7 linked regions of the Danio rerio genome follow. The protein of the gene in region 6 purifies or fractionates together with the protein of the main gene of each other region. This does not show direct contact. Links are inferred from orthologs where the notes say so. Each region holds a gene or a part of one and is shown on either strand. Other genes may lie near its edges.

Region 1 (4,199 bases), on a different chromosome or scaffold from region 6:
TTTTTGCTCAATAAAATAGTTAGTCGTCTGAATTTTCAAGTCCATAGTCTGTATTTACATTGACCCACAGGCAGCTAAAATCCACGCCTACACTATCGAGCGTGCATGAACTGTGATTACTTTTATATTGCTGATTAGCTGTTTGGCATTTCACTCTCTGACTGAAGGCAGTCGACCAATCGCAACAGGCTGTCATCGGTCCAATCAGAGCAGATTAGCTTCGCGCTAAGGAGGGGTTTGGGAACAAATGAATCACTGGACGATTCATACAGGAGTCGCTGGGATAATTAGATAAAAATAAATGCAGATTATAAGACCACGAAAGTGTTTTTTTGACCTTGCATGCATATTAAACTGTTGTTGGAGACCCTTACAACCAAGATATGACCCTATTTCATGTATAATATGGGCTCTTTAAGAGGTTAAAGAGGAGTTGTCACCAATGTGTCTGAAATGTAAAACAGAGAAAGAAGACCTTGTTCATTGTTTCTGGCTTTGCAGGCAAATTCAACAGTTCTGTGCCATGATTGAACAAGAAATTTATGGTATTTTATCTATTAATATTGGTTGCGACCCAAAGCATATGCTGTTTGGTTTATACGAAGAGATTAATATGAAATTCATTAAAATAGAAATTAAAAAACACTTTGCAAGTTCCTGATATTTTGTGCAAGAAAATGTATTCTCCTGAACTGGATAACGGGTAAAACTCCTACAAAGTCTTCATGGCACAGGGTAAAACTTGAATATGTACCACTGGACTACTTAACTTGTGTTTTAAACGGCAAAGATGTTTTGTTTCATGAGAGGTGGGATCCATTTTTGTTACATATGGGTTTAAACATAACCTTCATACTCATCAGACGGTTTATTTAATGAGGTCAGATCTTGTGAAGGTTTGTGGTGCATGAATATGCAAGATCTCTTTTAAAATACTTTTTATTTAACTATTATTATTATTATCATCATCATCATCATCAACTTATTTTCTCCGCCCTGTTCTGTTCATTTGTTTGTTGTTGTTGTATCTCTATTGCTTGAAAATTTAAATTTAATAAAAAATAAAAAAAAGCAGTAGTAGTAGTGTGAGGACCATGTTCATAGGATGTACTATAACAAACAAGATGGAAAAATCATTGCAGCACATTGTAATTGCGTAATAAGTTATTGTTTGCTTGGATTTTGCGCAAGTGTAATGTTGTTCGAGGTATCTGTTTTTTAAAATGTAGTGTATAAATATTATTAAAATTACTAATTATACATGTATTAATGCTGTAAAATGATTAACCACATTTAAAGTAAGTTTTGTTTGTTTCACAAATATATCCAAAATTTGTAAATCATGCACTCCATCTGAATTTCACGCCACAGCAATAACGTCATGCACAATTGATCAATAAAAAGTACAATAAAACATAATATATGTAGACTTTGTATGACTTGCGTTCATACTTGTATAATACATTTTTCACAAATCGCTTTTCTTATAAAACAGCTTTTGTTTCTTCACACATCATCTGTAATGATTATCAGAAAAAGATATATGTAAAACATGGCATATAGAATTAACTAAATGACTAACCCAAAATGACTAAATCAACACTAGATGAACTTCTAATTTGAAAAATCGAATAATAACACAAAGTCATCGGCGGAATAGCCTAGTGGTTAGCGCTCTGACATATGGTGCAGTAGCACTTCAAGGCATCCTGAGTTCGAATCCCAGCTCGAGGACATTTCTCGTCCCTACCCTGTCTCTCTTCCACTTTACTTCCTGTCTATAGTACTGTCCTATCTACTTAATAAGGCAAAAAGGCAGAAAAACTATATCTTTAATCAAATTAATAAATAAAACAAAAAGTCAATAGAATAGTTCACCCAAAAATGAAAATTTACTCCCCATTTACTCAATTTCAAATTTTTGGGTGAACTATCTCTTTAAAGTCAATCAAAAGCCCCAAACTGCTTCATTTTCTGAAGTGATAATCATTTCAGGTGTAGTTCCTTGATAGGAATAGGAGCTGTGGCACTGACCATGGGTTTATTGTAGAAGGGGAATCCCTGAAGCTGTCTGAGGGCATTGGTGGCTGCTGAAAGCTCCTTGAAGATCACAAACGCCTGACCCCTCATCCTCATGGTCTTCAGAGCCACGATGTCCATAATCTGGCCGAACTGCGAGAATAAGGCGTACAGTGACCTCTTCAGCTCTGTAGAAACGATTAACACAACATTAGCACCATTTAATTGACCGTGAGAAATGTACTTTGATTAGTTTGATTTGAATAGTTTAATACATTTCCTCATTTAGAAATTGCAAACCATTTTTTTCTGGATTTATATGATGAAGGAGATAATATAAAAGCAACTTTACCCCAATCTTAACTTTAAAACTGATGTGGAGCAATTATTACTGTGAAAAGCCCTTTACTAATTAACTCAAACATACTTCAATGAGCAAAGACAAACAAAAATGTCAAAGCTTTTCCACATATAGACGCAAGTTACAGTACAAACGAAAGACTTTACCTTCTTTCTTGATCTTATCATTAACATTGTTGATGTAGATGGTGTGATTCGGCCGGATGTCCATGATTAATAAACTGAGGTAAAATGTCCCTGCAGTAAACACATAAGAGATCCAGTACAATAAACAACGAGGAACTACAAACACAAAACACTCGCAGTGTCTCCCATTTAAGCCTTCTGAGATGCCTGAAATGACACTGAGTGCAGCTCTATAAAATTATAAACGTGAAACAACTTATTGATAGATTTAAAAATCACAATAAAAGTGAATGAACGGACTCACCACACTTCTGGATTTAAGCGGAAACTGGCGCTTCGCTTCTTCTTCGTTTCCTTTATTGTTGTGAATCGGGTTTCGCTTGTTGCGCCACCTGTTGTCGCGGAGTGATACTAACACTATTGCTAGGACTTTTCGTTGCTAGGTTTAGCAACTTTTCATATACTACCCTAGCAACATTTTTGAATTCAAAAAGCACCTAAGATCAAGTTTATCAATATTTGTGATTGGCCATTTGATTGTTCATTAGCTGAAGTTACCTTGTTGTTAGCGTGTATAACTGTTGTTCATTTAGATAGCATTAACTGCTAATACATTTCCCAGTACTGGGTTGCAGTAAACATTAAAACATATGCAGGATAAAATGTTTTTTAATGCTGAGATGGCCAGTCAAGTTGTGAAAACTCATTATTTTGTATATTATAAAAAGTTGCTTTGAGTTGGGATTATGTAATGATGCTATAATAACACAAAGACGTCATAGCATCAGTTAGCAACAAATTATTCCACCTTTAGCATTTTGTAAAAGGGATGTTTATGCAATGTTTTTTTTTTATTGTATGTAGGCTATGTTCAATATTTCTGGATTGATGTGGAATGTCTATTTAGTGGTGATAGAATGAGGATACAGAAAAGAGATGTTGACAAAAAAGATATAGATAAAAAATATCCTGTTTATGTTGAACTTTTGATAATATTTGGTAAGTTTCATATACACAAGTGTAAATGGACAGAGAGGAAGCCTAAAATCTCTCATTCATTCATTCATTTTCTTTTCGCTTAGTCCCTTTATTATTCTGAGGTTGCCACAGCGGAATGAACCGCCAACTTATCCAGCATGTTTTACACAGCGGATGCCCTTCCAGCTGCAACCCATCACAGGGAAACATTCATACACTCTCATTCACACACATACACTTCGGACAATTTAGCTTATCCAATTCACCTGTACCGCATGTCTTTGGACTTGTGAGGGAACTGGAGCAAGATGTAAATGCCACACAGACTTTCCAACTGACCCAGCCGAGGCTCGAACCAGCGACCTTCTTACTGTGAGGCGATCATACTACCCACTGTGCCACCGTGACGCCCTAATATCTCCATTTTAAGGCTAATTTACACTTAAAGGAACTCTTAAAGGTCTTGCAAGTCGTAAAGCAACCATAACTGTAAATATACTGCAAAAACTAAAGTCCTATGGTAATTGTCATGCTGTATACCCGCTCTTGTCCTTTTGTTACTTTCTTTTCGTTTATTTATTTGTTTAACATATTTTATGCTACAACATGAATATCCTATTTTAAGATTTGAAAAGCATTTGATTGGAAATGTTCAGTAAATATAATGAAAATATTAAGTTAAGAAATCCGCCTTTAGAAATAAAAATGTTTTCATA
Region 2 (4,288 bases), on a different chromosome or scaffold from region 6:
AGCTTAATCCGCTTAGTCGTGTAAACCTCAAAAAGTCTTAATAATCTGTATTACTCATACGAGTGCGAGCCATTCCGTCATCCGTTTGATGCAGAGGGAAAAAAAAGCAAAAATAAAAGCCTGACATGAATATTTCGGGGAAGAAATCAATGAACCATTTGTTAGAACAACTTTTGTTTATTGTGCTTTGCGTGTTTGAACAGGAATCAATGGGGAAAACTAACAGGTAAGGGATAATTGAATGTCGAGGTGTAAAGGTGTGATGCGTTTGCACTTTCATCGTCTGGTCTGCGAAATCAATTGTGTATTGGTCAAAACAAGGGGTGTCAAACAAACTATTAATTAGGTTGAAGATTGAAAGAATTAGGTGATGGTGACATCCAAAAATCAAAATGTTAACACGCTTAGTTATTGTCGGTCACATGTCTTGCAGACTTCAGCTTTTGCTTGTCAGTTTTTGTGCCATTCATCGTCTCTAATTTCTATTTGTTTTAATACTTGAGCTTAATCAAACTAAAATTTGGTTTGTGTCAGGAAAAACACATTTTTCATTAATAATTAATTCCAATTTAATTTGGGTTTATCCAATCATGCAAACATATTTAATATTAAATATGCAAGCAAGTATCAGAAACAGGACACATTCATGGATTTATTGGAGATTCTTGACATATCCTTGATAACTGGGTCAAATATTTAACCACAAACACAAACTCCGGCCAATCAGCAATCTTTCACTCAATCGCCTCTATAAAAGCATTTCATCACTAACATAGAACGCAGCTCATTGACATGCAACAACCAGGTACCCTTTCTTACAGCATCTCTTTACCTCTCGAGTCTACATTACTTGAAAGTATGTATGAGTGTATTAAAGTGAAGGTAAAAATGGTAAAAGGAGGTTACTGTTGTTTTATGATGCTTCTTGCTCGGACTGGTTACCTTTAAATCAGATCTGTGCTAATCAAAATAGAGGGATGGACTTCAAGTTCAAGCTGTTTCCCTGCCAAATTCATTCTACTTCCATTATACTATGAATAAACTATTAAAAAAAATAAAAGTACTTCAAATTTTCGGTAAGGAAAATCAGTTGTGGTCTTAAATTAGTGAAACTGGAATTCATATTGTACACTTGGATGAAAGAACAGGCCAGGCCAGCTCTTTTTCACTCTACTCGTGTCGTGCACCAAACGTGGTTGCAGACGCTACATGGAGGACAAGTGGAGGTTATCTATACAAGAGTCAGCAATACAAAACAGACAGTTAAAACCTGGGAGAAAAAAACTTAAGGGTATTTGACAAAATGATTGTTCCCATTGTTCTGAGAATTTGAAATACCACATGAGACCTACGGAGAACTTATCGCCTCACACGGAGAGTGGTCTGGAGAAAGTCTGGAGAAATCCTGGCCACGTTGTTTTTGTCACTCAGAAGCCTTTAAAGAAAAAGAAAGTTTAGGCCTTGACTTCCCTTTCCCCAAAATCATCTTCTGTTCTTCTTTCTGCTGTTTCTGTCGCTCTTGCTCCAGCTTCATACGCTCCTCGTGTATTTTTCTTTGCTCTTCAACTATTCGTAGCTGGTCCTCTGCCTGTAAGACAGTGAAAAAAAGAGGAGTTTGTTAGTGTGGTAATCTAGAGGTACCGAAACCCAGTGTTGATACCTTTGCAAATAGAATGTACCCAATTATAATGCAGATTTCTGTGCGAATGAAATCAGAGGTCTGGGAAGTAGAAGATTGGAAACAAATCTTAATTAAAAAAAATAAATAGGCTACAAGCAGGGCACGACAGAATATGTGGACTTCTTTTTTGGGGGGGGAGGGATTATAGATTTAATCTGGATTTATGTGGAATGATTTTGAGAACATAGGAGCTGAAAACTTTAAAAGAAACAAAATACATCTTAGCTTTTATTTAAGGTATTACAATGTAAAGACAACCCTAAAGTAGGTCTCTCATACTGTATAATACTTCCACTAAAATAAAGAAAAACCCTACCTTAGCAAGGTATTATAATTATTTTAGTCAAAGAACATCTTTAGAAATGACAATTTCTTTATTTATTCCTTTTCTTTAGGAAGAAAATACATTTCATTTAACTCATGCTAAATATTGCAAACAAAAACTACAACCTACAACATTTCAACAAAACTGTATATATTTATATGATTTTTTTGCTATTTTTTAAAATTGTATTTAATATTTTTCATATAAATTAGAACATATAAATTTGGTCTACTAATTTTTGAACTATTAATATAAGTTATTTTGTTGGATTAGCTCCAGATTCGGCTTTAGTTCTGATTAATGTATATGCACAATTATAATATTGTAAAGCATCCAATAGAAAATATTAATTTAAATGAGAGATTGGTGGGGTGTGTACCTATATATGCTGAGCACTATATATATATATATATATATATATATATATATATACACACACACACTCAACAATCTGTTAAAATTAGCACATTTTTGCTGTTTTGGGCTTAAAACTATTCAGTCCTAATACATATTACAAATATTGCACTGTGTTCTCTATTTATTTCCTTTTTGACCAGTAATGTAAAAGCAAACAAAAATATATCTAAGGTCTCCAACAAATAATTTTACATCCATCCACAGTCTCTGAAATGGTTCTTTCAAGGATATGGTCTATCTAAACCCCACTTTTGTAAAATACTACACTGCTCTGATTGGTCTGAAAAGGTTAGGTTTGTTGTGACTGGTCCACCAATTACAGCATGTCGCCAATTACCATTTCTCAATTTCAGCAATGGCATCGGGTCGGTTTTACCAATATCACCTAAAGCCCAAGCCTTTATTCTATGCAAGAGCATTTAAGATGAAATTGCTTTAATAGCACAAAAGTGTGTTCTCATGTGAATGTCAATACCCCTAACAAGCAGACAGTTATGTACAGTAACTGTTTATAAAGCTTACAAGCATTGCAATGTTTTGGAATGCTAACAATTTTGCAGCAGAACAAATTAATACAAAAACCAAGACAATTTACGCAAGAATTCTCACAGGACATTGTCATAATATATTAAGAAATGCGTTTATAATCACTACTCCCACGCTTTGATTAAAAGCTTCAAGCTGTTCTCTGTGATGTTTAATATAACGTACATGAGCGTTTTACTTACAGTTCGTTTCATTTTGAATCTTGCATCATCTGTGATGTGTAGGACATTCATGACAAACCGAATTTTGTGAAAGCTGTCTAGAAGCGACCGCATCTGTCGGCTCACTTTCACATGTTGACAGGACAATCTTGACCTTTATAGCTCTGAATTGAGAAGATCTCCTATATAACGTCTGATTTGTAAGATTCATCAGGACCAGAAGTAAACACTGTTCTTCTTTTGGTTTAAAGTGCAATTGAGAAGGAAAAACTCCACAAAATAAAACATACTGGAAGTAGTCCATACAGTGCAGAGGCCATTCATTCTATATGAGAAGACTGTAAGATGCCAATGGAGTGCTAATTAAAAAGGCTTCAAGGTGCTTAAAACTTTTACAGTACTACTCACTTCATACAGGAATTCTTAAATCACATCCATGACACTAATTTGTGCTCAGTGCAGAGTAGATTATATGTAATCTGGATTACGTAGCCAGATTAACAAAAATAAATCTATACTTGTAATTAGATTATATTACATTTTAAAATAGATTTAATCAGATTAACTTTTTTGTGGAATAAATGATTACAAATTATATAATCGTGTAATATTGCAGATTTTTTGTTAAAATATCCACAATATTGAATGGTCCTTTAAAAGGATATGGAAAATTAACTCAATTCATTTCATGTCATGGTTTTATCTTATTTAACTTAAAAAAATTACATATACATACACAGAAACACATATATAATATATACAAACACTACACACTGTAAATGTCTATATATATATATATATATATATATATATATATATATATATATATATATATATATATATGTATATATATATACACGTATATATATACACGTATATACATGTATATATATATATATGTATATATATATATGTATATATATATATATATGTATATATATATATATATATATATATATATATATATATATATATATATATATATATGTATATATATATATATATATATATATATATATATATATATATATATATATATATATATATATATATATATAAATAAATATATAATATACTTTAAATGTAATAGAAGTATTATTATTTGCTAGTGGTTTTGATTATATTTGCTGCCATTTATCATTTTACAACTAAATTATT
Region 3 (4,419 bases), on a different chromosome or scaffold from region 6:
ACCAAATGAGAATATTTACAGATTACCTCGGAATGAGATCTCGGTCTGTGAAGAATGCAGAACACAGAAACTCGTTGAGAATGGAGATGCATGTTAGATGTTTTATATCCCTTTAGATATTGTAAATAAACAACTAGTTTTTATAGAGATTGTGTCATGTCTTTTCTTTGACGCACGCGCTGAACAGCCTGTAGCCTAAATAATAGTTTAGATTTTATAACATATAATGTTTTATTACTTTAAATGTATAATGTTTTTTAATATTTATGGAATATATAAAATATATAGTTTATATAAATGCGCTCTGATCATTCAAGGATCATAATGCGTTGCATATTCTTCTTATTCTTCATTAGGCTTGATCCGTAAATTGTGTATTTTATAAACTGATCGTTTATAAGGATTAAGCTATTAATAACTGTAATTCCTCGAATGGAAAAGTCTTGATTAAAGAAAAAGAGAACTTAATTCGACATATGCATATAGTGCGCTTATTTCTGCGCGCATCGCGCGCTTTACCGAATTACCTTTTTTATTTTTATGCACTATAAATGCATCTGGCAGCACCGAAAAGAGCAAATGCCAAGTTATTAGCGCAGCGCACAGACAGCTAGCTCGTCTAGTCTGAACCAGGGGTTTTCAAACTATTCATTGCACACCGATCCCATTGCATTTTATTTAGGATAAACCACTTATTTAAAATTAATTAATTAAAAGGTGCGTACTCTCCAATACACCACTGTAGTGTCATAATATTTAATAATTATAATTAAGATAGACACCTGACCTCCATTTAATAAACAATTTATTTGCCATACTCTGTTAATTTGAAGTTTAAAGTTTAAATCATTTATGTTAAACTTAAATTATTTAAAAACTTAAAAAGACTTACATTTAGTCATTTAAGACATTTTAGGTCATAAGTTTACATACATTGACCGTTGCATTTAGTAGGCCTATTCTGGTCTAAATAAGCTTTTTGCATCTTAGGTGTTTACACACACAAATTAAGCAGTTTATACGTACATTTAATGTTACTTTGAAATTACTTTTGATGCAATAAATAATCCTAAATAGTTGAAAGTGTTAACATATTCTTGAAATGTAGTTATTTTATAACTATGAAATTTATTACTAAACAAAGTGAATCATTATGAATTTGCCAAGAAATAATCCACTTTACCACCGTAAAGCAATGCCCCACACTCACTAGAACGGTAGAACCTGGACTGTATGATATGTTCTGTATGTAAAATAGAGAAAATAAGCAAGATGCGCAGTCTCATGTAGCCTTAGTGAAATATAGCGCGTCACAGCAATGAACTAAAAATAAAACCACCCTTGAAATGCTGGCGATCTTAATTTTTTCAGCCTACACTGACTGAGAATAATGTTGCACTATTTAATTAACAAATAATTAGAATGTTTTTTTTTTCCTTCAACACATTCATCATTACTTTTGCCTGTGCAAGTTTTTTTGCGCGTGCTTGAGTGCGAAGGCATCTATTTTCAGGTGCAAGATGCCACTTTGGGTGGCACCAGCACACTCTGCCACACCTGTGGCTATGTCCCTGCTACAATAATAATAACAACAACAACGACAAAATAATAACAAAAAATAATAATAATAAGACAGGCCTACTTTGACGTTGCAATAAAAAAGTATTAATTATCAAATAAATATTTACAATAGGCTAAAGGCACATATTAAATTAAAATAGGAGAAAATCCAATAGAAACAGGTACCATTTATTATAGCCCCATGCAGGGTCCATTGTGTTCTTACAACCATTAAATAACTAAGTAAATAATAATAATAACAATACTGCTAATAATAGGCCTAATAATAATAATAATAATAATAATAATAATAATAATAATAATAATAAATTATTATTTTATACAGAGTAGGCTATTATTTAGGCCTACAATAGCTCTGAAACAATCATGTAAACCAGGTGCTGCTCGGAAATGGCTATCTTTGCTCTGCATCAGGTGCACAGCAGCAAGAAGCTTGGCAGTGAACTATGACCTTATTTTAATGACAAATGTCTAAGAATACTGCTGATTTACGTTTTTATTTAATTTATACATACGCAATGAATGTAAGCCTGCTAAATGTGTGTGGTTCAAATGATAGAATCTGTAAACTTAGTTAATATATATATAATTAAATAATAATAATTAAAAGCCTGCGTGTAAGGCTTTTATTTTGAGGGTGACGTCACGAGCGCAGATTTGGTTGACCAATTAGAGGAAAGTGGGCGTTTCAGCACCGCCTACATGTGTAAAATGAATTTTAAAGTCGTTTATCCGTTTTCCTACCCTAAACCAAAAAACGAAAATCCAGCCAAAATCTTGTTTTTTCGTTTTCTCGTGAGCAAAAGAAAAACGGAAAAACGGCAGTTTTCTCCATTTCCTTTATTCCGTTTGAAACTGGAAAAAAAATGAACAAAATGTACACGGACCATTTTTTGACTCATTATTTCGTTTTGGTTTTGTGTTTGTTTTAATATTTCGTTTTAAGTTAATAAGCAGAATAACAGATGAGTTTCCGTTTTTTCTGCCTACAGAATAAACAGAAAAACGAAATATTCATCGTTTTTCTGATGTTTCGTTTTCCGTAATAAAAGGAATAATCAAATGAACGGATGATACACGGACCCTGTTCTCGGATGACAAAAACTGATTAGTAACTTAGAGTGCGTGAAGCAAACGTTTCCCAGAAAAATCATGTTAGCTTAGCAATGCCACTCTGTTGTAAACAAAGACACATACCTTCCCTTAAATCAGGTATTGTCAATATTCCGTCATGGTCAACTCTGAAATAAACTATTGTGTTTAAAAATAACAGTGTGTAGACAGAATTACCTGAAAATGTGGTTTCTTGTTATAGACTTCAGCTTATCCGACAGTGACTTCCTGTTGGGACCGGAAGCAGAGCAGTGACATCAGAGTGACGCAGAGGTCAGAAACCCTCTCTCACAGCCATCTTGGATCCTGTGCCCTGAACTAGTGAGTACTCCTGCGTAAAATCTATTGTCATCCAACGTTGCTTTAGCCAATTCAATACATAATTTGTAGCTTATGCTGATGCTTTAGTGTAGCTGTGTTTGGAATGGTAAAGATTTGTAAATTTGCTTGGCTTATTGAGGAAATATGTTGATGATTACAACTGGCTGACTGTTCAAAATGGGGGAGCGAGACGCACCACCGCTCGCTATACTTCAGCCGTGGGCTTTGTGTCTAACGAAAATGTTAACCCTGCAAAAAGTTGCACTATATACAACTATAGCGATATATTGTGAGAAATCTGTAATTTAATCGTACGAAAGGTTGTTGCGTGACGTGCGACAATAAACACTGGCTGGATAGTTAACTTCGCTGCCTAAACATGTAACGTTTCTAAAAACGCATGCTGTGTCAACAGTATAACCTAACGTTACATTATAAAGGATTATAAACTCATTTCTTTAAAAAAGTTTTATTGTAATTTGTGTAATGAGGTTCTTTCATTCAGCAGTAACGTGTCAGAGCTCCTCTGTTAAGATACACACGTGAAATGTGCAACACAGTGCACGCGCACACATGAACAGTGTGTGGAACTGTTTGGGGACGTTATAAGCCTTATTTGTTCAGTTTGCCTGTTTGCAATTGATAAAGCTCACAAATTCTGTTCGGTGGCCTTGTGAAATGTTATCATGTAGCTCAATACTTTGAGACAACAGCAGTGTTTAACTGAGCCGGTAGTGGGACAGCTGACAGCCAGCAGAGGCCTACAGGAAGAGGCCTAGAGTGCTGCTGTTTCAATAGAAAAAGCCTCATTAACACAAAGCACTGACTAACGCATGTCTAAACCTTCATGCAGACTTTGTAAAGCTTATAATGTATTGTTTCTCATTTCTGTTTTAGTCCAGAATGCCAGGCGAAGCCACAGAAACTGTCCCTGTTACAGAGCAGGAGATGCAGCAGCCCCAGGCTGAGACGGGTTAGTACTGCTTTTAAAAGTGCATGTCTGATACTAAACACTGGTTGTCTAGGTGGTCCTGGAAATATTGTTTATTGTACTGGTTATTATCAAAATGTTGCTTATTCTATTCAGGGTGTTTTTGCACCTGTTTTAGCCTTTCTTCAGGTTTCTTTTAGGGTCTTCTCGCAGCTGTTGTAGAGATTTCGCATAACAAGTTTCTCTAGTCAGAGTGGTGTAGGGTGGGGATACAGTTGAGTCAGTTTTTCTCCTCCTAGAGGTTTTAGGTTAATGTGCTTGAGCTACTCCCTGAATAAAAAAACACAAATTACTAGTCCGTTTAAAGGCAGGGCTCTGTACTAACTTTTGAGAGCAGTGCCGCCAAGTTCTACAAATGAAGGCTTTAGTATCACGGGTTCAAAATATAATAGGATTGCATTTTTTGTCTCAGA
Region 4 (3,640 bases), on a different chromosome or scaffold from region 6:
GCAACCAAGTTAAAATGTTGAATCAAATCGAGATATTGATTTTAGGCCTAATTGCCTTTTGGGATGATGTAAAAATGACACATTCAGATGTAACATCAGGATTTGATACAATCATGTACCTTATCTGAAGATATTGTTTATATAAATGTTAAATTGATCGAGTGTATATACATTTTAGTCAAAAGTTTAACATGAATTTGATCTTTTGGCGTGCGCACTACAAATGCAAAGAATCTCCCTTGCACTTTTAGATACTTATATGATATATCTTCGTGCATCAAAATCTACAAGCAGTAAAAATGCCTACCTGTTCCCAAAACAAACCATCTGGCAGAGTCTGTACCATAGACTGGAGAAACAAAATAATCCTGTACCACTTCACTGGGATTTTAGAATGATACGTCCAGTTATTTATGAAATAATTCAACAAAGCCTGCTTATTCTGTGTGCAATATGTGCAATTATACATGCATCATTCAACGTATGAAAAACTTTTCCATTTAATATTTGGTGATTGTTATAAAAGAATGATTATATTTTAGATTAACACAGTTTTTTTCTCTCTCTCTCTCTTTCAGGACGCCGTGATGCTGCACAGTTTTACACTGAGGCAGCAGTTGCAGACAACACGACAAGAGCTTTCTCATGCTCTCTACCAGCATGATGCAGCCTGCAGAGTCATTGCTCGTCTTACAAAAGAGGTCACTGCTGCCAGAGAAGGTAAGAGTGGCATGATTGCTTTCAGGATGAGATGTTGACTGGAATTGTGCCATCACTGACACATTGTTCTGCTTGCAGCTTTGGCTACCCTCAAACCCCAGGCTGGACTGGTCGCTCCACAGGCCGCTCCTGCTTCTCAGCCCGCTGCTGTGGTCAGTAATTTCTTTAGATATTCATAATGTAGCGTGAAAAAAAAAATCTTAATTCACTCATGAACCATAGGTACTTTGAGGTTTTTCAAATAGAAATGGCCACTATTTTTAATGTTATTAGACAGCAATTATAATAATTTTTAAGGTAAAATTTTGTAGCAAGAGTAAACCTTAAAAAACGGTTTTAGATTGTTATTTTTTTGCTTTTTTATTATTTTAGAAATGTGATATTTATAAAGTGTTTAAATGTTTTTGGTAACTGCCTTACCATTTTTATTGAATTTCATTAAATGTAAAAAAGAGGTTGACGATTTTAGATTTTTGAAAGTCGACTTTTATATTATCAAAGTTGAGTCAACTAGTAGCTTTTAGCGTCATCAAAAAAAAACATAAGATGCAAATGTTTTGCAACATGCCACAATTTGCGATTTATTTGCAGGACAGAATATGTTTCCATGCTGTTGGAACGCTCATAACGCGTTGCAAGAACAATGCAACATTACACCAATGACACCATTTTAGTGCAAAACAAATACACTGTCGACTCTTTCGTTATTAATGTAACATTAGCACCCGGACTAAATTTTACTGCGAAATAAATGCAGTTAACACATTGATCACTGCACATTCTAGTAAGAATGTAACAATAACAGATATTTTTGTGCAGAAATAATGCAGCACACAGATTCATGTGACGTTATACATAACGCAGAAAGGACAGGCTATAACATTAAGCCATATTACACTGTCGGAGTCCTAATCAGACTCATATTTTATAAATATTACATTATATTTAATGTATTTTATATTTTATCGCTATGATCATGCGCACTAGAAAGCTGCTCAAAATCCTGCTTAAGTCAGGCGTTTTTTGTGGTCACTGGCTCATTTTAGTTACAGAAGTCTGCTTGCTGTACATCTTCACCAGGTTCACCAATGTTGATGATGTTTACACCTACACAAGCTGTGAAGTTTATCACACCTTTGCGGCTGTGCACTTCACATTTTTTCACAGGTTTGTAGAGGGCAGCAGACAATCACATTACTTTTCAGGGTTGCTTAAACCTAACTGGCACCGATTTAAAGTTCAATACAAGTTCACGTGAATCTTTGACGCTGACATAAAAAATACAGTTAAAAAAATGTATTTTAAATAATCGGAGGGCAGTTTCATTCAGTGACAACATCCGTGCACTCGTGGTTCCACCTTAGTGTGTAAAGCTGCATGTAGTTCTGGTCAAACAACGTGATCTGCACAGTGAGACTAGTCGAAGTTTATCAAAAAGCATCACGGCAGAGCATTAAAGTCAACTAGTTGATTAGTCGACTAGTCAGTGCAACCTCTAATATATATATTAAAAAAAAATTTCTCAAGATTCTGAAAAAAAAATACTTTTAGATTATAATCTCTTTCAAAATGAAAGATGCAGGAAAAAAAAGTTATTTCATATAATGCAGGAATTTATTTCAAAAGTTGAGAATTAATTCTGAGATGAATTGTGAATCCGATATTTATTTATTTTATGGTTTTATGTTCAATTTTAAATGTAAAATAATTCAACCCCCTCATAGCCATAGTACAATGGAGTTAAATATATAATTTTCTGTTTTCATAGGGTGCTGGTGGTGAGGCCATGGAGGTCAGTGAACAGGTTGGAATGACTCCGGAGATCATACAGAAGGTTTGTGAATCCACAAGTATATTCAGCAGTGTTCTCATTGCTCACACATGTACAAAGGGATTCAAAGACTTTTTCTTACATTACAGCTTCAAGACAAGGCCACTGTTCTGACCACCGAGAGAAAGAAGGTAAACGTTTAATTAGCAGTTTGTGGTCACTGTTATTTGATGTGCTTTTCAATGTCTGTAACCTTTTACGTGTTTGTTTTTCAGAGAGGAAAGACCGTGCCAGAAGAGCTGGTCAGAGCAGAAGATCTCAGCAAGTATCGCCAAGTGGGATCCCATGCTGTGAGTATCCAATTTTACACAGTGTGTATGCGTGCATATTTTTGTTTAACATATGTTGTGTAGGCCTGATGTCCACAAAGGTTATATAAGCTGGATGTTTTTTTTCTATATCATAAGAAAACCGCTTCTAAAAAGTGCTACATTTGGTACATTTATTGTTAAAAAAGGTTTAGTTTTTTTCAGAGGTCAATATATTAGGCTCATTAAAAAAATCCATTATGTTTATTTAAGCTGATTTTATACCATTATGGTAGGATTAGTGCTCAAAAAATAAACTATGAAATCCAGCCTGAAATAGGATCAAAATCCAATTTTTTTTTTAAAACTCAAGAAATGATGAGATTGTATGCAGAAGATGACGTTCCGGACACAAAAAAACTCGCACTGAACACTTGCTAAAGGAGAAAAACCCCTAAAATGTCTATATTGCAACAGAAACCAAGCTGTTAAAAATATTCTTGTGCAATGCCCTATTTTTATTGTTATCCGACAACAATTATTGTCTGGAGGGACTTGAAATGTAGTATTTAATTTTAAAATTGTTAAATTTTCATCAAAACTAAATCCTTAAAAAAAAGTTTTAGATTTTTATCTTATGTATTCTCATTATTACTTTGTATTTTTATCTTCTGTATTTATTGCTTTCGATGACTTTTAATTGTTAGAATATTTTTATAATTATAGAAAAGTATTATTTTTTAAAATGTGGTAAACCTGATCTTTTTTTGCCATGATATAGCCATAAAAGCTGATATGGCAATAAATTCAAAATTCTCTCTTTCCATATGTCCTGGTAAAA
Region 5 (4,280 bases), on a different chromosome or scaffold from region 6:
GTCTCCAGTGTAAGCAGCTTTTTTCAGATTTAATTTAAGCCCAATAATAAATAAAGTCCTACCATGACAACATTATCATCCAAAAACTGAGCTTTCCAATGCTGACGATGCTTGTTCACACTCTGAAACAAGAAATATATGGATGAAACAAATTACAAAAACAAATTCTAAAAAGTCTAAAAGTACTTAAAGGGATAGTTCAACCAAAAAGAACATTTACTCTGTATTTACTCCCCCTCAAGTGGTTATCAACCTTTATGAATTTCTTTCCTCTGTTGAGAGGCATTTTGAAGAGTGTTGAAAACCTGTAACCACTGACTTCCATATTAGGAAAAAGAAATACTGTAGTAACAACAAATTCTAAATACTACTACTAAGTCAATAGTTACAGGTTTTCAGCTTTCTTCAAAATAAAGGGTGAGTAAATGATGACAGAATGAAATATTAAATGAAAGTTGTCATCATTTACTCATCCTTTATTTTGAACAAAGCTGAAAACCTGTAAAACCTGTTTTTTTTTTCATCTGCTAAACACAAAAGAATCTATTCTGAAAAATGTTGGAAAGCAGTAACCATTGACTTCCATAATATTTGTTTTTTTTTACTATGGAAGTCAGGTTTCTAACATTCTTTATAATATCTTCTTTTGTGCTCAACAGGAGCTGAGCCGAAAGGCAAAGCTTTCGATTTACCGGTCAATCTACGTTCCTACTCTCACCTATGGTCATGAGCTTTGGGTCATGACAGAAAGGACAAGATCACGGTTACAAGTGGCCGAAATGAGTTTCCTTCGAAGGGTGGCAGGGCGCACTCTTATGGATAGGGTTAGGAGCTCTGTCACCCGGGAGGAGCTCTGAGTAGAGCCGCTGCTCCTCCACATCGAGAGAACTCAGCTGAGGTGGTTCAGGCATCTGTTTGGGATGACTCCTGGACGCCTACCTAGGGAGGTGTTCCAGGCATGTCCCACCAGGAGGATGCCTCATGGAAGACCCATGACACGCTAGAGGGACTATGTCTCTTGGCTGGCCTTGGAACGCCTCGGGATCCCCCCCGGAGGAGCTGGAGGAACTGTCTCGGGAGAGGGAAATCTGGGGTTGTCTCCTAAGACTGCTGCTCCAGCGACCCGGCCCGGAAAAGCGGCAGAAAATGAATGAATGGATTTGCTCAACAGAAAAAATAAACTTGAAAAAATTTGGAACCACTTGAATAATAGTAACATTCATAAATAATGAGTAAATATTCATTTTTTGTGTGTGAACTATCCCTTTAAAGAAACTAATGTGGTTAATATTGAACACCTGTCTGACTTCTGAAAATCTGCTGACTTGTTGCTGCTGCCATTTAAAGCTGGGTGAAAAACCCTCAGGTGCAGCAAGACAACCTGTGATCTGAGGCAAAAATAATGGCACAGTTATTTTACACATTACAGAATTTATAACAGATTATTCAGTTCACTTTTCCCACTTACAGACACATTCACTGACTGTTTCTTCAGCTTCTTTGGATCAATTTGTGCCACAACAACATCTGGACACAGAGATGCTTCCCTCCTGTAAAATATACAGTAGTCGATATTTAAACAGGGTCTTTTTATTAAAGTTGCCCGAAAACCATTGAACAACACCCACTCTTGTCTTAGAACAATTTCGAAAAGCGTTTTCAATCCACTTGTAAAATGCTGACTACTATAATGTTCATCGAACAAGAGTCAAAGTCAAGCATAGTTTCATCAACAAGAAAAAGCTAATACAGCTTTAAAGTAGTTTTGTTTTTCCTGTTGCATTAGAATGTGTAAAATAACATTTTTTACAAACAATATTTACAATAGTTATTCTGTGTAATAGTAATTTATTAGCCAAAAGCATTAAAGTGTAGCCCCAAATCATATTTTGTTAGTGCCACTGTCCTTCGGATCACTAGTTTTACCAATTTGATCAATTAGTTCAACGTGCTAAGCATTGGGTAACAAACTATGAGGTTCTAGGTATGAAACCAGCATAGAGCCACAATCTTGACGGGCGGCACGGTGGCTTAGTGGTAACCACTGTCACCTTACAGCAAGAAGGTCACTGGTTCGAGTCCTGGCTGGGCCATAAGGCATTTCTGCGTGGAGCTTTAATGTTCTCCCCGTGTTGGTGTGGGTTTCCTCTAGGTGCTCTGATTTCCCCCACAGCGCTCTCTCTGTGAGTGTGTGTGTGTGTGTGTGTGTGTGTGTGTGTGTGTGTGTGTGTGTGTGTGTGTGTGTGTGTGTTTTTAGCTGGTCATCTCCCAGCCTGCCCAGCTAAGACCAGGCTGGAAATGACTGGAAACCAGCCTGCAAATGGCCATAACCCCTCTCAAACAAGCCTGGTCAACCAGCTAAAACCAGCCAACCAGCCTAGGCTGGTTTAAGCTGTTTTTTTTTTCCAGTAGGGTTTAACAACATAAGTACTGTTTAATTGACTGAATAATGTTGTACTTTAGTAGTCATTGGCAGCTAATATGATCTCCTTCTTTACAATTTGCAAATAATACTTTTCTAAAACTGTATTATTGATGAGAATGTCTGAATGTGCGAATATTAAACCAACTTTACCTCAATAGCCGAAAGACTTACTGGACAAATCTGAGATATTCCTGAGGGTTTCTAGGCGGCTCGGTAAGAGTATATTCCTCTGTGTCGCAGGAATCCACTGGCAGGAGTCTGGGCATCAACTCCTCGGCGTCTGACTTCATCTCTTTGCCTTATTTTTTATGCACGACCATCAAAATAAATCAACATGCTCACTATTACGTGCATGTCAACCTCTCCATTTTGAAAACATTGGACACGAGGATGACGATCAATAGACGCGACGGTTCTTTTATTCACTCGCTTACAGATGGAAAGATGTGTAGCGACATCTGTTGTTTAGGAGAAATGTGAAGGGTAACAACATAAAATGGTGGAGAAATATTGTACAAGTAGAATATTTTTTATTTACTCCCCAATAAGGTTAAATAAAAAGGAAAAATTATCAAATAAGAGCTGTGTTTTTTGAAAACTCTACCCCTTCTGCTATCTCACATTGAAACGGTCTTTTTGATTATTTAAACTGGGGAAATATATGGTCCATACATCAAGTTTTTCCTTACTAAAAAGGTAAAGGAAATATCTTTTAAATTATTACATAACATTTATCCTATCAAAAATGTCTTAAAGAAAAGATTTGGATCATACTTTGATACAAATATCTCCTTTTGTCAGATTAACGCTGAAACTCCTCGCTTATTTTGGTCATGCAATTGTCCAAATATTACTTTACAGCATTTTTCTGTGACTACAAAAGTCATTTTTGGTGTTTTTTATAACAAAGTTTAATGTCTACTTTAAAATAAACCTTTTTCTTTATGCAGATTTTATGTTCATAAATGTATATTGTCAATGTCAAGTTGCAAGCTAACATTTCTAGCATTTACAAGAGATTAAAAATTACTTACAGTTCCAGATTCACTTAACAAGAAAGTACTCAAAGCATACCATTTGCACGACCTTTATAATCAATTAAATCTCTAAATTGCTGCTTCTTATTTTGCCCTCTTCACTTTCAATTTTTTTTAAATCTATATATCTACCCTCAGATCAGATGGCCTATTGATATTTCTTTGTTTTTTGTTTGATTTCTGTTGGTTGTTCCTCTTTCTTTTTTCTTCTTTTTCATTCTTTATTGGCACCATTGTAAATAATCTAATGATTATTATTGTAAATGATGTGCACCAAATGTATCTTTCTGTAATACAGTAAATGTATTTAAAAAAGATAAAGAAAATATTACACAGGTATCCCTGCCATCTGTTCATTAATACATTTTAAAAAGACATTTCATCAGAATGTTTTAAACCTGAAAGTCTCCTACATCTATTTTGTGCTTGTACATTTATTGACGACTTTTGGAAACTGGTTTCAGGGTTAATTTTTTACTCAGTTTATAATAAAATTATATATAATTAACTTGGATGAATGCATGATTCTTTTTTAAACTGAAAACTGGCCATGATACACTCGGTAATGCTTTGAAGTTGATTATTTTTCTTGGGACGTTTCACATACACAAGGCAAAATTAAAGTCTATAACCCTCTCCTTCAATTAATTTATTTTTCTTATAAGTTTGAAACAGGCAACGCAGTGGAGCAGTAGGTAGTGCTGTCGCCTCACAGCAAGAAGGTCGCTGGTTCGAGCCTCAGCTGGATCAGTTGCCGTTTCTGTGTGGAGTTTGCATGTTCTCCCTGCGTTCGCGTGGGTTTCCTCCAGGTGCTTCAG
Region 6 (3,938 bases):
TGCAGAGATAAAATAGAGTACAACCAAAATACGAAGACTTCAGATGCAAAAGGTATGCCTTCTGAAAGTGTATTCTAAAATGAGCATTTCAGATATTTTATTTAAGGGAACGAAAAGAATCTATTGTTTGACAATAGTGAAATTCCTCAACCACTGTGCTTCAAAAAATGCTCAATTTATAAATATATCAGATGCAATTAAGAGCTTTTTGCATCTGACTCTTCCTTTGGTGTTTAATAAGGGGTTTTGATAAGACTTAAATGCCTCTTATTGGAAATACAAAAACCATTGGTGCAACCTTGCTTTGGGGTCATTTAAGGGGCTGAAGGCAGAATAAGATATGTTGGTTACTTACAGTGCATGTCTCTCTCGTGCTCGTATTCAATGAACGCATAGCCTCTTGGTTTTCCAGTTTTCTTGTTGTACACAATGTAGATCTAATAATAGCAGATACATACAAGAATAAGACAGTGGAAACAAACTGACCCAAGATTAATATGCATAATACACGTTCAGCACAATTTACCCGTTTGATAGGACCATAGACCTCAAACTCTCGCCGCAGTTTGGATTCTGTGGTATCATAATTCTGCATAAATAGAATAAAACATGTAAGATTTGTCTTCAAGAAACAACCTCTACACATTTAGATTTTTGTCAGCCGACAAGCTTATGCTTGAGACCAAAAAATACTCACAATTCGAGCCACAAACAGGGTCTTAAACGCATCTCCTTGGGCATTAGCGTCATTATGTGGGTCCCCTGTGGAGATACAGGTCATAAGGTTAATATAGAACATTTTAATGACTTTATTTACAACTGTAAAGCCTTTATTTTAAAGACACTTACATAATTTCAGCTCTCCTTCAACCACAACTTGCCTCCTCTCCATTTTTTCTCTTCTCTGGATTTGAAATGAACAAATAACCAAGTAGTTAGTTACCATAATTTTACATTAAATACTGTACAAATGTAAATAATTGGATAACATTCTTATTATTGGTCATTTATTGCATCATATTACTGGATTAATAGAGCATGTGACATTTACACAAAAGCTTCTGCAATGCATATCTTACTATTGCTGACTGCTATCAAGTTCCTTCATCGATTTTTCAGAATTTGATTATGGTGCGTTGACAAATGATTTCTAAAAACTTAGGGCTATGCAACATATTTCAGCATTATCAAGTGTTCATAGCTGTCAAGACTCAACGGTCCAGAACACAAGGGATTTGTGAATGAATTGCCAAGTTTCAACAATAGAGTGAAAGTTAATCGTGTGCACATTAAATGTAAATTATTTCATCCTCCAGTGGAAACGCATTCCTTTTTTTGTTGAACTCAAAAGAAACATACCAAAAAATGGTCACGATTAACATCCATTGCAGTGAAAAAAAATATATATACATACACCAAGGAATCAATGGCATGTGGTTTCTAATATTCTCCAAAACATTAATACTTTTGTGTTGGACAGATGACACAAAATATAACCGGTTTAAAACAAGTGGAGGCAGAGTAAATATTCTAACTTTTTTTGCTTCAATTAAAAAAAACATTTTGTTAGCAGTGGTCTCAAGCAAAGTTTGGGACAAGGATGACCTATGGTTAAACTCAATGTGACATGTATCAACAAGCTTTTCAAACACGTCTTGTCTGTACTTATATGCCCACTAAAACTACTGAGTGCAGCTCTGTCAATCTAAAAGCAATTCAGCAGGAGAAAACATTAGTAAACTCCCCACAGAGAGTCTATTCAGACAAGTCTCGCTCACCTTCCTCTCCAGTCTCTCCTCCCGTGTCTCTGCTCTTGTGGGTGGAGGGGCATCTCTGGGGTCCTAATAAACAGCAGAAAAAACAGTTATACATCAATGTAACAAAGAAATCGATAAATAAACCGTTCTACATAAAATAACAAGTCAAAAAGCACCTCAAAATGCCGGATAAAAGGAGCAATTCCGCAGTAGGGCTGGTTGTGGTGTTTCTCGTGAGGAAGCTTTCCCAGTTGAGGCAGGAACGGTATGGGGTCCCGCGGGGCAAACAATGCCAACAGGTTCGGCGGAAGAAACTGAGTCATTGTTCACCTGGAAGAGAGAAAAAACACAAACGATAAAAAAAATAATCAACAATTAGGAGCACCTCATGCAAGTTAAGCAGTTACTGTGTGAAAATGGTAAATAAGACGTTATTTAAGATAAGGTGGATTTAAATAAGCAGACAAAATCATGCTAACAGATTCAAACTGAAAATTCAGCGTCTTCACATAGATCTGGATCAGTAAACAAACACCCCTTAAACGAGTCTCGTGAAGTTAGCTGCTAGCAGTCTTAGCTTTCTCGGTTAGCTTCGTGCAAACAAACACTTTTATTCTCCACATAATGATTAAACAAACTACAACTTCAGCATCAGATCACGTTAGTGTAGCATCAACAAAAAGAGACGCATCTAATAACTAATATCAGTGCACTCTTTAATACACAAAAATAAAGCAAAGCTCAGTCGTGGTTACGGTCAGCTCTGCTAATTCACCAACTCTCTCATGATGATCATATCCGAGATCGCCTACATTTCCACGGACGGCCTCCTGCAGTCAATTACCTCAGTTTTTCATTCGGCTCCAACGAAATCTCCGATTTTCGGGCCAAAATCCTCTTGCGTGTTTCTGTGGAAGACCTTCGTGCATGAATTTCTTTAATTCACTCGGTATTTTTGTGTGTATTTCGGTCCACACAATACCCAACGTGTGTTCTCACCCAGTTGAACGAGTCGTTCCTTTCTTAAAATGGCGCGAGGCCGTAAACCGCTGCGGTGTTTCACGACACATTTACGTCTAGTGGTACATTCACGATAGGGGCGTGGCCAGTGTGGAATTTGTACTGTAAAATATTATTTATTGTTATACAGTGTCACAAAACTTATGCTATGTTGATGTACGTATCCACAGTATCCTAACTAGACTTTACCTTTATAATGGGAAAAAATTCACTCTAAATCATAATTTTACTTTAAGTACACCATAAAATACCTTAAAACGTCTTTATCCTTAATTTTGCTCAATGCATGCATCCAAATATTGTCTGAATATTGCTAGTTACTGATTAATAATAATAGTAAAGATATGTACATTATCAATTGTTAAATGGGAATATATTCATATCAAATACAACAGCAGTAAACCATTCCCATTCTACGTTTCTTCCCAAACACAAGAGGCGCTGTAACCAAAAAATGACTTCATCGTTTGTTTTTATACGTAGTTAAAGATGGCGGAGTCCGAGGAGCCGAAAAAACCCACCTGCACATTTATTTTTAAGAAATCAAACAAGAAATTTTCCGCACGGAAAAGAAATGCAAGTGACAGCGACAAAGGTACGTTGTGCTTCTTTCTTCAGTGTCTCAATCGACAGCGAGTTTGACTTGAGAAACTATAATCCCTACAACAAGCCGTCTGTTTAATTAATGTTTATGCTCAATACATGTCTGCAGTTCAGTGTTTTGTTTCTTTATCATCAGAAAAAAGCAGCGGCGATGAGGGCAGTGCAGTGGTCAGAAAGAAGAAATCTGCCGCTGTGAACCCCATGATTCAGAAAGTATGTCCGTATTTCATGTGTTTTATGTAACTAGCCGCTGTTAAACTGATGTCATCATTATTATATTTATTATTCGTTTTATAGACGAAGAAAGTGGAGAGGGAAGCTGTCTCATCGAGTGAAAGTGAAGAAGAGAAGGAAGAAAAGAGCGTGACTGTCGCTTACAAGTCCACTCGCTCAGCGGTGAGTCTGACTGACCCAACATTTGTACAGCTTCATGATTTATGCTACAGCAAATTATGAATATAAACGCTTGATGGTGCCTAATAATTCATGACCACGTATGACTTTACATTTCTATTAACGTCTGACAGTTTTTGCGCTGTCTCATTGAAACATTAAAGG
Region 7 (3,860 bases), on a different chromosome or scaffold from region 6:
TATGGGATCAGTGACCACCTTAGGAGAGAGACCCCTATTGGATGCGCGCCGCAGAAAGGAGCCTTCTGATTGGCGGGTGGACTATTTAAAATCACTGGCGATAAATAGACGAGTTCGACCTCTTGTTTATAGGAGATTCACTTCGCATAACGAGTAGAAAGAACAATAATTAAGAATAAGACTAAAAATTAAACTACTTAACAGCTGCTTCATTGAGGAAGTAAACAATACGATATAAAAGTGACAATTCATCTAAAGAATTAATACAATATAATGTATTTTAAAGAATTTTGGAGGCAAATAGGAAATTCAATGCATACTGGTTTCCACCATTCTTCAAAATATCTTCCTTTGGGTTTAAAACAAGACATTTTGAAAAGATGTCCAATTCTAAGCTGATTTTGAGACAGAATTGTCATTTTTTGGTGAACTGTATCACCTTAAGATACAACTCATATGTGACTGATCTAGACATACACAAATAAAGAGAAATATTCCAGATGATAAAGGTACAACATTTTATTGGCCAAATGATACAACATATGTTGCAACCAAAGACAAAACGATTAAAGAACTTAAGTCACTTTAAAGTTTTACAAATTTCCCGAGCACTCATGGAAAACATTTACCACAAGTTCACACTACTATTGATAAACACTTGAATAGCAAGTTCCTCAAAAGCACTTCTGCTGAGAGATGTTTTCAAACTGAACACTGAGCTCTTGCGATAACAAACAAATTGTACTGAAAGCACATTATAACACCAAAATAAAACAAAACAAAAGTAAATCTCAACCAAAGTGATCACAGTGCTGCAGAAACCGACCGCTTTTATACCAAGGAGCTGACTGATGCTTCATGGCTATCAAAGAAAGAGCAGGCAGCTGGAGGATTAGCATTAGCACTAGCACTCTCAGCTCTACCGCCGTCTCCTGATTTTCCACAATGCGTACGTGTGGGTTTCATCTTCACGTTTAAAAGTCATGCTTGGCAGCGCGGTCTGTCTCTAGTGAAGAAGGGTGGTGGCACAGCACTCTGCTGGGGTGTGGTTTCTTGACCCGTCCCGTCCCCTGACCTCTCCCTGTCCCGTGATCTTTCCTCCTTTGCCTCGTTGTCTCTCTCTTTTTCCTGACTCAGGCCTTGATCTCTGCTGGAGGGCAGTAAAGCGCTTCAGAGTTCTCTGATGACAGCTCCTCTGTAAGACAATGTGAGGTTTTACCATAGGATACAATAATAGGTTTATGCCTAACTATAAGGGAGTTCTCATGAGAGGGTAAACAATAATCACTGGTAAAATAATTTAGAGTGTATTTTAAGCATAAATGAATATTTATTGTATTGTACACATTGCATTGTAGAGCTGATTGAAAGCTGAAGAGAGCATTTCCTCATACAAATGAGAAGCAAAATATGCTACTTATCAGCTTACCTCTGAAGTGAATGCAGGGACATTTAATAAACGTTTCAAAATTTACTGATAGTTCTAGCGTACTACTGGATTTAGCACTGAAATTAACTACTTACATTTTATTTAAATATTAAAATATATTGTATATGCTTTTCCTTTGGTTAGATATCGAGAGAGGTGTATTAAACGAACAGTGTTTGAATACTTAAGGCATTTAGGAAATGAATGTGCATATTTACTGCAGATTTCACAAAGACAAATTTAAGACTTTTAAGACCTTTATGAATGAAATTTTAGACTTTTACAGGGCAAAACCCTAATAATTTTTTTGTAATGGCCAGTGGATTATATTTGTACATGCCCCGATAAAATTGAAATGTGGTTATTTCTTAGCCACATTTTTTTAAATAGTGTCAAAACATGGTTATATATAAATTGTAGTTTCCAAAACTGTTAAAAAAGGACATTTTGAATGCTGAGAGAAAATTCAGAAATAAAGCTTCATTTTAATCAGAGCATTGTCGAAACATTCCTAAAACTTATTTTAGTGTTTTGTTCTCAATATTTCAATGATTATTCTTCCTAGAAATCTCTCAAAATATTAAATATATAAGTGTTAATTATGTTTCAGAATGCTTAAGAGAACAAAACGTTCTTTTCAAAAACTAAACAGTCAAATAAGGTAATATCAACTAAACTTATGCATACATATACGCAGAACTTTAAAACAAATGTTATTGTAAGGATGCAAGGAAGATAATTAAACCATATTGGTGAAGAGAATCCATCAATTACTTAATCAACATAACTTCTGTTAAACATGTTTTTTTTAGATTGTTGGTTGTAGTGATTGGGAAGCTTCACATGCACAAAGGAAAATTAAGACATGTTTAAAAAGTATTTAAGACACACAACGCCATATTTCAGTGAATTTTTTTCTTTTTAAGGCCTACATTTTCGTTTTCAAATGTTAAGACTTTTTAATACCCCTTGGATACCCAGATTTTCCAATCCTGCTGAAATATTTGAAGGAAATAATGATTTATTACATGATGTAATGTCTATTCAGAAGCAACAGTTATGTTCATGGGAAAATAGTATTACATCATAATAAATGGTTTCAATTGAGCAATTTAACTATTTACGGTCTTCAAAAACAATATTTTGATTAAAATAACAGTAAATACACATTTAAGTGTTGTAATTTCATTTTAATTTGGAGTGTATGGACTTATGCATTAATGTGTTTAAAAAATATACTTGTTTATCTTCTCCAATTACGAATGAGCGACCTATTTGACATCTAGCAAGTACAATCTGGTAATATCGATTATCAAAAGGATAGCATTCACAACTATGTACACTACAATTTGTTAAATAAGCATTCATATTTGCTATTCACTATAATCATACAGATTGAATATAGATCTTTCTCTAAAATGCTACACAAACGCTTCATGTTTACTCTGCTTTAGAGTTAATATTTTGTGATTATTTGACTATGAACATTAGCTATAAATATCAGAATCTTGATAATGATTATAACAATAACATATTAATTATTATCTTGTCTTAAGTTGACAACAGCAGTAAACCCTTCTGAAGATTTTATATTATAAAATGGTTGGCACAAATTTTATTTCAATTATGGTGCAGCCATAAATACTAACTTTGAGTGTGCATTGCCAGCTTTAGTATACTAGAAGCAATATCTATGTAAACTCACCAGGCAGGACACATTTCCAAAGGCCGTATGTTTTGCCTACAGCTGTCTGCCACAGACGCAGAGTGCCATCCTCCGAGCCACTGGCATACAGCTCTCCATCAGGACTAAACCGCACACAGTGCACAGGCCCGAAGTGACCCTTATATGACTCTGAATGGCAGACAAATCAATCATATTGTCAAGCATGAACAAACATATGCTTGGTCATGAGCCAATCCATAATAAACCTTTTTTTTCCATGTGCTTTAGGTATATGAACATGATTATCAACTATATTCATACCCATTTCCTCTTTGGTGGTGTAGTCATATTTGTAAAGCTTGAAATCATCTCCTCCAGCCACAAAGAAGTCTTTATCAGGATGCAGGGAAGCGGAGTGAATGGAAGCAGGGGCGTCTACGGTCTTAATCAGGTCCAAACTGAAGATAACACAAAATATCAGTCTGGCGCTATCAGTTTTCTGTACAGTACAGAACATGTTTTTTGTTCCAACTTGACGTTCAAGGTAATATTTGCACGATATGAAAGATAGAAACCTGTGGGCATTATAGAAAGCGATGGTTCTCCCGTATGTGATGACGAGAGTCTCCCCATCAGGAATGTACTCCATGCTGCTGACAGATGCATCGAATGATAAAGTCTTCACCGCCTCGTTTGTGTTCTTGTCCCAAAGTCTATACATAGAAGATGACACTAAATCAATCTATCTGCATATGTAAAGTCAAA

Evidence for each region.
Region 1: the proteins of snrnp70 (region 6) and snrpb2 purify together in Homo sapiens (affinity purification with mass spectrometry; 5 studies listed by BioGRID and IntAct, counting the BioPlex papers as one, with this or other methods). This does not show direct contact. The link is inferred for Danio rerio from reciprocal best matches to the Homo sapiens genes SNRNP70 and SNRPB2.
Region 2: the proteins of snrnp70 (region 6) and arglu1b purify together in Homo sapiens (affinity purification with mass spectrometry; 3 studies listed by BioGRID and IntAct, with this or other methods). This does not show direct contact. The link is inferred for Danio rerio from reciprocal best matches to the Homo sapiens genes SNRNP70 and ARGLU1.
Region 3: the proteins of snrnp70 (region 6) and tfip11 fractionate together in Homo sapiens (co-fractionation; 3 studies listed by BioGRID, with this or other methods). This does not show direct contact. The link is inferred for Danio rerio from reciprocal best matches to the Homo sapiens genes SNRNP70 and TFIP11.
Region 4: the proteins of snrnp70 (region 6) and prpf19 fractionate together in Homo sapiens (co-fractionation; 3 studies listed by BioGRID, with this or other methods). This does not show direct contact. The link is inferred for Danio rerio from reciprocal best matches to the Homo sapiens genes SNRNP70 and PRPF19.
Region 5: the proteins of snrnp70 (region 6) and gemin2 purify together in Homo sapiens (affinity purification with mass spectrometry; 5 studies listed by BioGRID and IntAct, counting the BioPlex papers as one, with this or other methods). This does not show direct contact. The link is inferred for Danio rerio from reciprocal best matches to the Homo sapiens genes SNRNP70 and GEMIN2.
Region 7: the proteins of snrnp70 (region 6) and strap purify together in Homo sapiens (affinity purification with mass spectrometry; 3 studies listed by BioGRID and IntAct, with this or other methods). This does not show direct contact. The link is inferred for Danio rerio from reciprocal best matches to the Homo sapiens genes SNRNP70 and STRAP.

What each region holds. Positions count from the first base shown.
Region 1 is NC_133176.1:55,030,535-55,034,733, forward strand, and holds the start of snrpb2 (U2 small nuclear ribonucleoprotein B''), read right to left. Parts: upstream 2,913-4,199; 5' UTR 2,810-2,912; intron 2,617-2,809; 5' UTR 2,591-2,616; coding exon 2,527-2,590; intron 2,208-2,526; coding exon 2,035-2,207; exon of another isoform or gene 1,932-2,034; intron 1-1,931. UniProt on the Homo sapiens protein: Involved in pre-mRNA splicing as component of the spliceosome. Associated with sn-RNP U2, where it contributes to the binding of stem loop IV of U2 snRNA.
Region 2 is NC_133176.1:9,081,179-9,085,466, forward strand, and holds the end of arglu1b (arginine and glutamate-rich protein 1-B), read right to left. Parts: intron 1,589-4,288; coding exon 1,424-1,588; 3' UTR 640-1,423; downstream 1-639. UniProt on the Homo sapiens protein: Dual function regulator of gene expression; regulator of transcription and modulator of alternative splicing. General coactivator of nuclear receptor-induced gene expression, including genes activated by the glucocorticoid receptor NR3C1.
Region 3 is NC_133198.1:20,764,152-20,768,570, forward strand, and holds the start of tfip11 (tuftelin-interacting protein 11), read right to left. Parts: upstream 2,925-4,419; 5' UTR 2,872-2,924; exon of another isoform or gene 2,779-2,871; intron 46-2,778; 5' UTR 1-45. UniProt on the Homo sapiens protein: Involved in pre-mRNA splicing, specifically in spliceosome disassembly during late-stage splicing events. Intron turnover seems to proceed through reactions in two lariat-intron associated complexes termed Intron Large (IL) and Intron Small (IS).
Region 4 is NC_133189.1:18,665,276-18,668,915, forward strand, and holds part of prpf19 (pre-mRNA-processing factor 19), read left to right. Parts: intron 1-578; coding exon 579-720; intron 721-798; coding exon 799-872; intron 873-2,488; coding exon 2,489-2,554; intron 2,555-2,640; coding exon 2,641-2,682; intron 2,683-2,766; coding exon 2,767-2,841; intron 2,842-3,640. UniProt on the Homo sapiens protein: Ubiquitin-protein ligase which is a core component of several complexes mainly involved pre-mRNA splicing and DNA repair. Required for pre-mRNA splicing as component of the spliceosome.
Region 5 is NC_133192.1:14,292,391-14,296,670, reverse strand, and holds the start of gemin2 (gem-associated protein 2), read right to left. Parts: upstream 2,826-4,280; 5' UTR 2,716-2,825; coding exon 2,597-2,715; exon of another isoform or gene 2,576-2,596; intron 1,551-2,575; coding exon 1,469-1,550; intron 1,389-1,468; coding exon 1,299-1,388; intron 123-1,298; coding exon 63-122; intron 1-62. UniProt on the Homo sapiens protein: The SMN complex catalyzes the assembly of small nuclear ribonucleoproteins (snRNPs), the building blocks of the spliceosome, and thereby plays an important role in the splicing of cellular pre-mRNAs.
Region 6 is NC_133178.1:30,714,773-30,718,710, reverse strand, and holds the start of snrnp70 (U1 small nuclear ribonucleoprotein 70 kDa), read right to left. Parts: upstream 2,801-3,938; 5' UTR 2,602-2,800; intron 2,088-2,601; 5' UTR 2,081-2,087; coding exon 1,934-2,080; intron 1,842-1,933; coding exon 1,779-1,841; intron 905-1,778; coding exon 850-904; intron 763-849; coding exon 698-762; intron 590-697; coding exon 527-589; intron 438-526; coding exon 356-437; intron 1-355. Other genes in the region: E3 ubiquitin-protein ligase RNF113A, read left to right, coding at 3,267-3,372, 3,517-3,593, 3,678-3,776. UniProt on the Homo sapiens protein: Component of the spliceosomal U1 snRNP, which is essential for recognition of the pre-mRNA 5' splice-site and the subsequent assembly of the spliceosome. SNRNP70 binds to the loop I region of U1-snRNA.
Region 7 is NC_133179.1:17,464,660-17,468,519, forward strand, and holds the end of strap (serine-threonine kinase receptor-associated protein), read right to left. Parts: intron 3,809-3,860; coding exon 3,671-3,808; intron 3,554-3,670; coding exon 3,417-3,553; intron 3,285-3,416; coding exon 3,135-3,284; intron 1,196-3,134; coding exon 1,134-1,195; 3' UTR 505-1,133; downstream 1-504. UniProt on the Homo sapiens protein: The SMN complex catalyzes the assembly of small nuclear ribonucleoproteins (snRNPs), the building blocks of the spliceosome, and thereby plays an important role in the splicing of cellular pre-mRNAs.